Cricetulus griseus: one gene and its partners. The protein of the gene in region 3 purifies or fractionates together with the protein of the main gene of each other region. This does not show direct contact. Links are inferred from orthologs where the notes say so. Each region holds a gene or a part of one and is shown on either strand. Other genes may lie near its edges. The genes, in order: Dyrk1a, Dyrk1b and Fam53c.

Region 1 (3,648 bases), on a different chromosome or scaffold from region 3:
CCAAGCACTTCGATTTCAGTTCTTTTAGATTTTGCTGTAGCTGTTCACTTTTTACCAGTTGAATGTCCCTAATCTGAAATTGTTAAATGCTCTCATTTCAAGTGTTTCATACCAGAGTAAGGATGTTCAACCTGCATTTTCTTTTGTGAGATTATCTTCCAGTTTTGTCCTCCCCTACTGGATTTTCAGGACTTTTCATTCCCATGTAACTTTTATTAAATAAGAACTTAACATTTTGTGCTAAACTAGTGGTAGAGACAGCTTTTGCCTTTTCAGAGGTTACATTGACACAAGTAAGCAGCAAAACACAAAAATGGCAAGTGATACTTACAGAAAGGGAAAGTCTAGAGGTGTGCGCCTCTGGGGAGTTACCTTCATGGTGGTGGCAAAGCCCTGGGCAGTGCAGACTCCAGTGCAGGCAGCCAAGGCTCGTGAGGTATAGTGACTAACAGACTAACTGCACACTATCTGAGTAAATCTGAGAGGATGCAAGAGTTTTCCCTCCTTGAGTGTAACAGAGAAGCAGCTGATGCAGTGTCCAGAGCACTGCTGTGTCGCCCCCGTGTGACTCCACGTGCCCTCAGGTCAGCTGCCCAGGCCATGGTGCCCAGCAGACAGACCTAACTGCACTAGATACAGTGAGTGACATCTAAAGTCACGCTCATTTCAGCCACAGTTGTGCTGATGGCTGTGCCCAGCATGAAGGGGGCTGGAGAGTCCGGTACAGTCATGTTGTACATAGAGGGGCACATCAGTAGCCTGGCCACAGAGGGCTGGGGCAGCATGAGTCAGAACATCCGGGAACTCAGGAACTGACATGGCGATTTTAAAAGGGGAATGTAAGCAAAGATTAGAAATAAACGTGCTCTTGATGGGAGAAAGCAGCAAGTGCAGATGCCATGAGTCTCAGGTCAGGTCAGGGTGAGAAGGGTCTGGGGAGATTGGGATCCAAGTCCGTAAAGGAATGAGTTGATTTTTGTTTTGAAAGGATAGTCTTGCTTTTCTCAATGGGTTGAGAAGAACAACTGTGGAAGCGGGGGGGCGGGGGGGGGTGTTAAATTTTTTATTTTGTGAAGAGGCCTTTGCATTAGCCTAGGCTAAGTGGTAGTGGTGATGGCGGTAAGAAAAGTGGTCAGATTTGGGATCTGGTCTGAGGTATCTCTTTGGTACTTCATGCTGGGTTGAGTCCGGAGGAATTGTCAGACATCTGGGTGGATACGAGTCCTTTTATTGTATCAAGAGATCTGGAAGGAAGAGGGACTTCAAGGGGAAATGAAGGCTCTCATGGACCTGCCAGATGTCCTGGTGGTTCCTTATAGAAAGCTTACTGACCTGGTGTAGACGGTGACATGGAGACCTGGACATGAGTGTAACTTCTTAAAATTGGCTGATTTTAATTGTAAAACATTTTTTGCTCTGGAATTTACATAGAATTTTATGGTATAGAACTATCTAGTGTGTTAAAAGCTTCAACAACCCCCACCGCCACCAACCCCAAGTTCACCCACCTGAGTGCAGATGCTCAGGTGTAGGTTAAGCTTGGAAGCAGTGCTGAATAACCCTTCCTTAATGTCTTCCCTCACAGGTGCGCCAGCCATTCCCGGCTCCTCTGGGCTGGTCAGGCACTGAAGCTCCTACACAAGTCACTGTTGAAACTCATCCTGTTCAAGAAACAACCTTTCATGTAGGCCCTCCGCAAAACGCATTGCATCATCACCATGGAAACAGCTCCCATCATCACCACCACCACCACCACCACCACCACCACCATGGACAGCAAGCCTTGGGTAACCGGACCAGGCCAAGGGTCTACAATTCTCCAACAAATAGCTCTTCTACCCAGGATTCTATGGAGGTTGGCCATAGCCACCACTCCATGACATCCCTGTCTTCCTCAACGACTTCTTCCTCCACATCTTCCTCCTCTACTGGTAATCAAGGCAACCAGGCCTATCAGAACCGCCCAGTGGCTGCTAACGCCTTGGACTTTGGACAGAATGGAGCTATGGACGTTAACTTAACCGTCTACTCCAATCCCCGCCAAGAGACTGGCATAGCTGGACATCCAACATACCAATTTTCCGCTAACACAGGCCCTGCACATTACATGACTGAAGGACACCTGACGATGAGGCAGGGGGCTGATAGAGAAGAGTCTCCCATGACAGGAGTTTGTGTGCAGCAGAGTCCTGTAGCTAGCTCGTGACTACATTGAAACTTGAGTTTGTTTCTTGTGTGTTTTTATAGAAGTGGTGTTTTTCCCAAAAACAAAGTGCAAAGCTGCTTGAATCAGAAGGAGATTAACACACTGAACCGCTACAAGAGGGCAAAGCTGACTTTTTTAACTTGAAAAGATTGCAAAGGGACAGAGAAGTTTTTCAGAGCCATGTCCACCTGTCTTCATGGAGAGCTCCCAGGTGCCCTCTTTTTGTCCCCCCTTTTAACCTGCCATCTCCCGGTCATAGTGGGTTTGTCTTTCTATCCAACAAAAGTTAAATGTTCAGATGTTGGTCTTGGTCATTTGCCAACTAATTTTAAAATAAAAAGGCACTGCACATAATTTGCATAAAGGGCCCCATAAGGGTGTTTTGTTTTTTTGGTTTTTTTTTTTTTTTTTCATTTTTATTTTTCTCCTTTTCCCCATGTTTTGTTTTGTTTGGGGTTGGGGTGGGCTGGGAAATAAGGGTTTTTATGTCCTCTATACACTTGGGCACGGAAATGCAGTACTGTAAGGAAGAGGGACCTCCAGCTCACACAAACACCATCTTCAGCTATGTGAAAGGGACGATTGTGTTGGAGTTTGTAAGGCACATTAAGCATGCTAAGTGGCGGGGACCAGGACTCTCCTATCTGAACCCACCGAGGAGCGAAGCAGCAATCCCATGGGATCCTGTGGGTCTCCTTCCTGTTGGAGAGGCCCCGGGAAGATGGGAATGGAACAGGACTGGTCTCCTCAGCAAGGTGCACTGAGAAGCAACACCGCGCGGGTCAGTTGTGGCCAGTCCTGGGGAGGTCTGAGTGGTGGTCTTTGGGATGACCTTTGGCCTTATGGATTTGGACTCGAAGTTAGAAGAGCCTACCATTTCAGATACAATCACTTGTGGACATGCGTTTGCAGACAGTCCTTAACCCTGAAAACACAGAGAATGGGTAATTCAAGAGGCCTTTCTTTTAAAATAGACTTTTGTGACCCACTAATTGTAAGGTATTGCAAGGTCACTTTGCGTGTGTCATAAAGCTGACCCCTTATTGGTTGAAGGCCACAGATGTAGTGGTTTGCTTTGATGGAAATAGCTACAGCTGTGCCCTTCCTGCTTTTTACCTTTTCTTTGGCTTTTTCTCGGCACGTGGTGTCTTCACCATTTCTTCTGCACAAAGACGTCTTCTGTTCATCCTGAACATTTTAAAATGCAGAATTTTATGTGACTGCTTTTTTGCCTCACAATTATGCTGTGAATTTTACAAAAATTTATTTTCTTTTTTGATAATTTATTGTACCAAAGCTGTTTTTATAGCACATAGATGTCTGTAACCAATAATGTAGCAGTTCTGCACTTTGACACAAGGTGTAACTAGACCATTTTTAAATGTCAGTGGAAATTATGGCTGTACTATTGCTTAAACAAAACTGGAACTGTTGTTGAATCC
Region 2 (3,748 bases), on a different chromosome or scaffold from region 3:
GAATGTGGGTAGGGTTAGTGGCTGTCTGCACCCAGACACTGGATGAGTGGGGGAGTCCCACACCTGGCCAAAGGAGCCTTTGCCAATAAGAGAGTCAATCTCATAGCGCTCCAGCCAGCGCTCGCCACTGCGCACAATGTAGTCGTGGTTGTCGTCGTCATAACCGTGGTTCAGGACCTTCTTCTCCTTTTTGGTGCTCGAGTCCTGGGGTGGCGCCTGTTGGGCCCGCCGCTTCTTCTTCGCATAGTATACCTGCTCAGGCGGCCAGGAAAACGGACCCTTGAGTGACCTTGGCAAGCAGCCAGGACTCTCTTCAGCACCCAGCCGGGGGAATCCCCCGCTGCACCCACCTCATTGATGTGCTTGTAGGTCTTGATGAGGTCCACTGAGAGCTTGCGCAGCGGGGCTGAGGTTGCGTCCCGGAAGGCCAGGGGCAGTCTCCGAGGAAGTAGCCGCACATCAGGCAATACCTGTGGGGGACAGGGGCAGACACAGAGCACCTTCACCTCCAGCCTCCAGGGAGAGAAGGAAGGGTAAAGCCGATGGCTGTTTGGCCATACCCACATTTACCTAGCTCTGCACAAGAGCAGAGCTTCCCCAGGGTCAGATCCCATTCTATGGGGCCTGTCAAACATTGAGGTTCCCCAGACAGCTGCTCGTTGCATGATGAAGTAAATGACCGTCTACCCAGCCCCTGGTCAGCTCATCTGCTTTCTGTCTGTATTACCTTCTAAAGCTCAGTGGATGCACTGAAATGGAAACCTGGATTCTCTGTACCCAAGACCACTGTTTCTGGGAACCAGGCCACTGAATTCCCTGTATTTCCATGTCTGTGCCCAGTTCTTAAAGCGCTGGGATGGGGATCAGACTTTTTGGGTTTCCCACTCCCCTCAGCTCACTCTCCAGGCTTTTCACTCCAAACCGCTGTCTCTTGTGGACACCAAGACCTGTGTTCTGGTCTGTTGTGTGCCAGAGACAGTTCTGAGCCCAACAAACATTACACTTAATTTTCTTAACCCTTGAAACCAGAGATGGAGGGCCATGGAGAAGCTCAATAACTCAGTCCTCATGGCAGGAGTAATAAGTGTGGACTTTCCAAACGCCACCTGAAATTCTTCCAGTTGTCACCAGGCCGCCAACATCCTCAGAGATCTTCCAACAATCATGCTGCTGCCGCCTGGAGACCCTTTTTTTTCCTCAGTCTCTTCCTATCCCCAGGCAGGTGAGAAGCCAGCTGAATGCCTACCTGTGTGTGTTCCTGGGGCTCCGGAAAGCCAGAGAAGGGACCATGGCCTGGTGGGACGGCCATGGTGGGCTCAGAGGGCCGCAAGGGTGTGAGGCCTGGAGCGGGAGCCCGGCCGGGGGGCGCCTTCTCGCATCCTGCACCTCGGCTGCCACCGCCGCTGAGACCTGAGAGCAGGTAGGGAGCAGAAAGACACCATGGAACAGGAGGGTATGTAGGTCAGGGCCACGCAGGAGAGTGGGCATGAAGAAGAGGGCAGAGCAAGGGGAGGCACTCGGTAGCAATGCAGAGGGGAAGTGGGTTGGCATAGCAGTGTCCCTCAACAAATGATCAGCCGAATAAATGCGGCAACACAGTGGGAAAACATACAAGGGAATGGGCAGAGCCAGAGGGGTGGGAGAGAGTGCGTGCAAGGCCAGGGCAGGAAGGGCAGAGAAAGGCCAGTAATTGGAGGAGCAAAAGAGAAGCCGGAAACCGTGTAGAGTCTGAGCAGTAGAATTCATTTTTTCTTTGAATTTCTGCTGGTGCCCATTCCGAGTCGCTCAGATAAGGCCCCGCCCTCGCATGGTCTTCCCCTCAACATCAGGATCTGGGCCACATTGAGGGCCCCATTTCAAATCTAGTCTAGCCTCTAGTTCTTTCCACTCTAGGGAACTCCCGGACAGCTCACACCATAGCAGTCCTTGCGGACCTCCCAGCAAAATCAAGGTTATCTGGGAACTCGTGTTATGTGTGAGTGCTACGGGTGTCTCAACCACCAAGGCGCCCTCTGCCCCTGCCCGGAGACCAACTCGACACCCCATCAAGACCGCTCCCCGCTCCCTATTCGGGGTATCCCGTGCCAGGGACCCTTCTTCTAAGTAGCCTATATTTAGGATTTCACCCCTGCTACTAAGGAAGACAAGAGGGAGGTGTCGTTTCTCAACAGTTTAAGAATCACTGTCTCTTTCTCCCTAACACTGGGACCCTTGCGGTCCCCCCTCCTAGCCAATTATTTCTAAACCGGGTCACTCCACAACTGAGCCTATTCCTAGAAGGGCCCAACAGCCGAATCCCTACACGACACACACGTCTTGGCTCCCTGAAAAGTGTCCTCCAGAACAGAACCTTCTACCTAAGAGCCTCCCCGGTGTCAGTCAGATAGATCCCTTCGACCCTACGCTCCTCCGTCCGCCACTCCAGGTCCCCTTTACGGGGGGCTGCAGGGACAAACCACCTCTTCTTCCCCGGCCCTCCCAGCTCCCACCCCTACCCGGGTCAGGGCTGGCGCCGGGCCCACGGGGGGCTGGGGAGCGATGGGGCCCCCAGTGCGGTGGGCGAACGGCCAGCATAGCGGTGGCGGCGGCGATGAGAAGGTGGCCGCCTGTCCCCGGCCCGGCCGGCCCGGCCAGCCCCGCGGCGGTGAGGGCGAGCGGGACAGGCGGCCCCGGTGGGTGACAACAGCAGCCGCCGCCACCGCCGCCGCCGCCAGGGGGGGGCGGGGAGAGGAGGGGACGAGGGTCAGACCGGGGCACGCGGGGGGAAGGGGGACAGCAGGTGGACGGGGGAGGGGCGGGTTAACCCTCGCCCTACGGCCCAGCCCCGCCCGCGCGGCCACCCGCCCCAGGGACCCTGGCGTCCCGCCCCCCACCCGGCAGGCCCGCCCCGGCCGGTGGAGTCCCGGCGGGCGGGGCCCCGATGAGCGCGGCAGGCCGCACCTCCCATGGCAACAACCACGCCATTGGTTGTTGCCGCCGGGAGCCCAGCCAATCGGCGCGCGGGGCAGCTGTTGCTAGGCGACAGCGAAGCGGCCAGCGCAGCCGAGCCCAAACAAAGGGCGGGAGTGGGGCCGGGCTGCCCCCTCCCAGACTCCCTCCCAAGACGGCTCCCTCGGGCTCGGGCTCGGCCCCTTCCCGAAAGCCGGCTGGAAACAGCGGGGCTCGGCCGCCGCGGCCCCAAGCCCCCTCCTCCGCCTCGCTAAGTCTCGCGGGGACGGGCAGGGCGGATCCCGGCCTGCCCCCCATCCACGCGTGCCGCCCCGCCCCGCCAGCCCGGCCCGGCCGCCAGCCCGGCCGCCCGCCGCACCGTTACCTGAGGGCGTGGGTTAGGGGACTCAAACTGCTCGGGGAGCCCGAGCTCAGACCTCCCCACTGGCTGAAGGTGTCCGGCGGACGCGGCGAGCCAGGGCCCCGATTACCCAGTAATGCAACCAGCAAAATGGCGACCACAACAAACCGGCCCCCCTGTCCTGGCTCCGCCCCCACACCGCCCACGTGACCCAGGGGGACTCGGCGCGCCTGCGCCTTCAGGGCGCGGAGCTGCGCACATGCGTAGCAGCCATCGGTGGAGCATGCACCATGTGACCGGATGAGACTTTCCCAGGCAGCGACCCCCCCCAAGCGCACAGAAAGTTGGTGAAGGGCGCATGCGTCTTTTGGCCACTGAGCAAACAGAACCAGACAAGGGCGACAGATGAGTATTTTAATAGAAAACAAAACAAAACTACACGTGCAACAGTAGCAACAC
Region 3 (3,648 bases):
GTTTCATTATAGCTTAGTGCAGCTGAGTGCCTTTCCCTGTCTGTGCTGAGCGTTTTCCTGTTTAATGTAATTGTACATTCCTACACTGCATGGATCTGTAGTAGTTTACCTAATCCCTGCTGATGGAGATTTGGGCAGTTTGCAGTCTTCTAATTTTGGGGTGTGTGTGCATGTATTATATATGCACATGTGTATGTATGGATACTATTGCACTAAAGCCCAAGGAGGATGTCAGATGTTCTGTTCTATCCTTCTGCTTCACTACTTTGACACAGTCTTTCATTGAACCTAGAGGTAGGCTGGCAGCTAGCAAGCCTCAGAGAACTTCCTGTCTCCATCCTACAGACTTAGGTGGGAATGCCTGGCTATTCGTGCTAGGATCTAAACTCTGGTTCTCATGCTTACAGAGCAAGTGTTCTCACCTACTAGCCACCTCTCCAGACTAGTTTTCTATACCCTACCCAGAACTGTCGTGAATAACTTTGTCCCTAGGTTATTTTTGATATGTGAAAAAGCATCTGCAATGTAAATTCCTATAGTATGAATTAATCTCAGGACCTATGAGTATGAGCATAAAAAGACAGACAGAAGCTGTCTGACCCATGTAAAGACTGCACATGTCTCCTTTTCTGGGATACCCAGAAAGGGAGGTGAGTTGGCAGAAGCAGTTGCATTCATTCTCTTTCTCTTAAGCACTTGTTGAAAGCCAGGTATTATGTCATAAGGATCCATGATCCTGCCTTAGGAAAGTTAGTAAGGTGAAGAACTGTTGACCAAATACTTGCTGTCATCAAGTCTGATTTAAATACTTTTATTTGTGCCCTTTCTAAAGAATTACTGAGAAAACTTGGAATAGGCCCATTGTCCTGTAGTGAGCTATTTCCCCCAAATCTATCTTATGTGGGAAGGTAGAGGCAGTAAGATAAAAGGTGTTCATGGTCAGCATTGGTTATATAGCAAGGTTGAGGCCGGATTACATGAGACCCTGTCTCAAAAAAAGACACTGTTGGGGGATGGGGGCTGGAAAAATGGTCAAGTGCTTGCGTTATGAGTGTTTGGATTTGTCAGGGTCTCCAGCATTCACAGAAAATCCTGGAGTGGGCAGAGTCTCTAATTCAAGTGCCTAGAGAAGTATAGACAGGTTGGCCAGCCAGCTTATCCAAATTGATGAGTGACCGGTTCAGTGAGAGTCCCTACCTCAAAAAAATAAAAATAAAAAAATGGGGGGGGGGGAGCAGACAGGTTGTCATAAAGTGCTGGATGACCTGAGTTCATCCATAGGACCCACATGACTTCCCAAGTTGTCCTCTGATCTTCATACACATGATTGTGGTGTTGGTACACACACATACACGCACACACACATGCATATACCCATAAATAAAATGTAATTTAAAAGTAAAATGAGGTAGAGAGCCATTGAGCAAGACCAGATGTTGACCTCTGAGGTCAACGTATGTGGGCTCTTGCCCATACCCACATGAACATGTACACACATACACACACGAACACATGCACACACACACCCATACACACATAACACGCACACACGCTCACACACTCTCTCACACACACACACTCACTCACTCTCCCACTCTCCAAAAGTTACAGTTTTGGTTGGAATGTAGTGAGTAAGGATCATTCCTTTTAGCCTGTTTCCCTTATCTTTGTCAGACATAGGAAGTTTGCTTTTATGTTATTTATGTAGCCCAGGTTTGCCTCAAATTCAACATGTGATTATCAAATAATTACATGAACTCATTTCCTGCTTCTCCAGAATTCTGGGATTATAGGTCTGAGCTACTATACCCACTTGTTCCTCCAATCTACTTGACATTAAAAGGCCCAGAGCCTGGCATGGTGGTATATACCTTTAATCCCAGCACTTAGGAGGCAGAGGTAGGTGATCACTGTGTGTTTGTAGTCAGCCTGGTCTTCATAGCAAGTTTCAGGCTAACCAGGGCTATATAGTGAGAGCTAGACTCAAAAAAAAAAAAAAAAATTTTTTTTTTTCCAAAAATTTATACTGAAGGTCTAAGGGGGAAGGGAACCAGAGTATACGCACAGACATAAAAGAACAAAAATAATACAGAATCTTAGAGTTTTTCTAGCACATGTTCTACCATCGACCACCAACATCTTCCTTGCCTTCTCTAGCAGTAAAAGCAGTTGCTTGATTACTTCCACTAGACAGCACTGCCCTCCTTGGTCCTGGTGACATGTAAGAGGAAAAGACCAGGGAAGGCGAACATAGGCCTGATTTTCAGAAGGCAGGCTGGGAGCAGGGAGAGCTGGGTTGTAGATATGATTGGTCTAGAATATTGGGGGTGAGTAGGTCATACACAGAGACATACAGGTTTCTCTTCACGGTTTCACCTTAGAGAAGTGGCAGACTGTGTAAATGTTCTTTATTCGAGGATGTTCTTAGGACGAAGGTAGCATAGTAAAGGTTGAATCCTATTTTGTTCATTTGATAGCTACATGCTTTGGAGCCAATTAGGCTGCAGTCATCTAAAAAAGGGATAATCATGGTACCTCCATGAAGATTTTTGTGAAGCCACACCAAGTATTGACTGCATTACGTGATGCATAAGCTCTTATCATATGTTCGCTATTGTTAATACTTTTTATTATGAATGCCTTTCAGAAGGTGCTTCCTGGAGGGGCCTGCCCCACTGTTCCTGTGCTGAGTTCCAGGACAGCCTCAACTTCAGCTACCATCCCTCAGGCCTAAGCCTGCACCTCAGACCACCCAGTCGGGGAACGTCCCCGCAGGAGCAGCCCCTCCCCCAAGTACTAAGACCTGAACCCCCAGACCCAGAGAAGCTTCCTGTGCCCCCTGCTCCTCCATCCAAGAGGCACTGCCGCTCACTCTCGGTGCCTGTGGACCTGTCTCGTTGGCAGCCAGTGTGGCGGCCCGCCCCCTCCAAGCTGTGGACTCCCATCAAGCACCGGGGCAGTGCTGGAGGGGGTGGGCCGCAGGTGCCTCACCAGAGCCCCCCGAAGCGGGTCTCCAGCCTCAGGTTCCTCCAAGCTCCCAGTGCCTCTTCTCAATGTGCCCCAGCCCACAGACCCTACAGCCCTCCTTTCTTCAGCCTGGCCCTGGCCCAAGATTCCTCTCAAACCTGCGCCACCTCCCCTCAGAATGGTTCTTGGGAGAGTGATGCTGAGTCCCTGTCACCCTGCCCACCCCAGCGCCGCTTCTCCCTGTCACCCAGCCTGGGCCCACAGGCAAGCCGCTTCCTGCCCTCTGCCCGGAGTTCCCCTGCATCTTCCCCCGAGCTGCCCTGGAGACCTCGAGGTCTCCGAAATCTTCCCCGAAGCCGCTCGCAGCCTTGTGACCTGGATGCCCGCAAAACTGGGGTCAAGCGGCGTCATGAAGAGGACTCCCGGCGCCTACGGCCTTCCTTGGACTTTGACAAGATGAATCAGGTGAGACTGGTAGACCAGAAGAGCATGGACAGAGTGGAAAGACTGTTGAAACATCTCCTAGCACCACCTTCCTTGTAGGTATATCTGGAAACTCTTCTCTCTAGAGTTTATTCTAGGAGGACCATTCTGTCTTGCCTGGAACTATTTGAGTTTTAACCTTTAAAGTCTCCTGTCCTGTCAGATTAGTCCTTGGTGTTCAAAGAAACTAGACTGAGA

What was found.
Region 1: the proteins of Fam53c (region 3) and Dyrk1a purify together in Homo sapiens (affinity purification with mass spectrometry; 8 studies listed by BioGRID and IntAct, counting the BioPlex papers as one, with this or other methods). This does not show direct contact. The link is inferred for Cricetulus griseus from reciprocal best matches to the Homo sapiens genes FAM53C and DYRK1A.
Region 2: the proteins of Fam53c (region 3) and Dyrk1b purify together in Homo sapiens (affinity purification with mass spectrometry; 3 studies listed by BioGRID and IntAct, counting the BioPlex papers as one, with this or other methods). This does not show direct contact. The link is inferred for Cricetulus griseus from reciprocal best matches to the Homo sapiens genes FAM53C and DYRK1B.

What each region holds. Positions count from the first base shown.
Region 1 is NC_048597.1:3,174,549-3,178,196, reverse strand, and holds part of Dyrk1a (dual specificity tyrosine-phosphorylation-regulated kinase 1A), read left to right. Parts: intron 1-1,585; coding exon 1,586-2,206; 3' UTR 2,207-3,648. UniProt on the Homo sapiens protein: Dual-specificity kinase which possesses both serine/threonine and tyrosine kinase activities. Exhibits a substrate preference for proline at position P+1 and arginine at position P-3.
Region 2 is NC_048602.1:7,917,755-7,921,502, forward strand, and holds the start of Dyrk1b (dual specificity tyrosine-phosphorylation-regulated kinase 1B), read right to left. Parts: upstream 2,674-3,748; 5' UTR 2,575-2,673; coding exon 2,496-2,574; intron 1,411-2,495; coding exon 1,247-1,410; intron 471-1,246; coding exon 351-470; intron 253-350; coding exon 64-252; intron 1-63.
Region 3 is NC_048595.1:202,726,398-202,730,045, reverse strand, and holds part of Fam53c (protein FAM53C), read left to right. Parts: intron 1-2,647; coding exon 2,648-3,432; intron 3,433-3,648.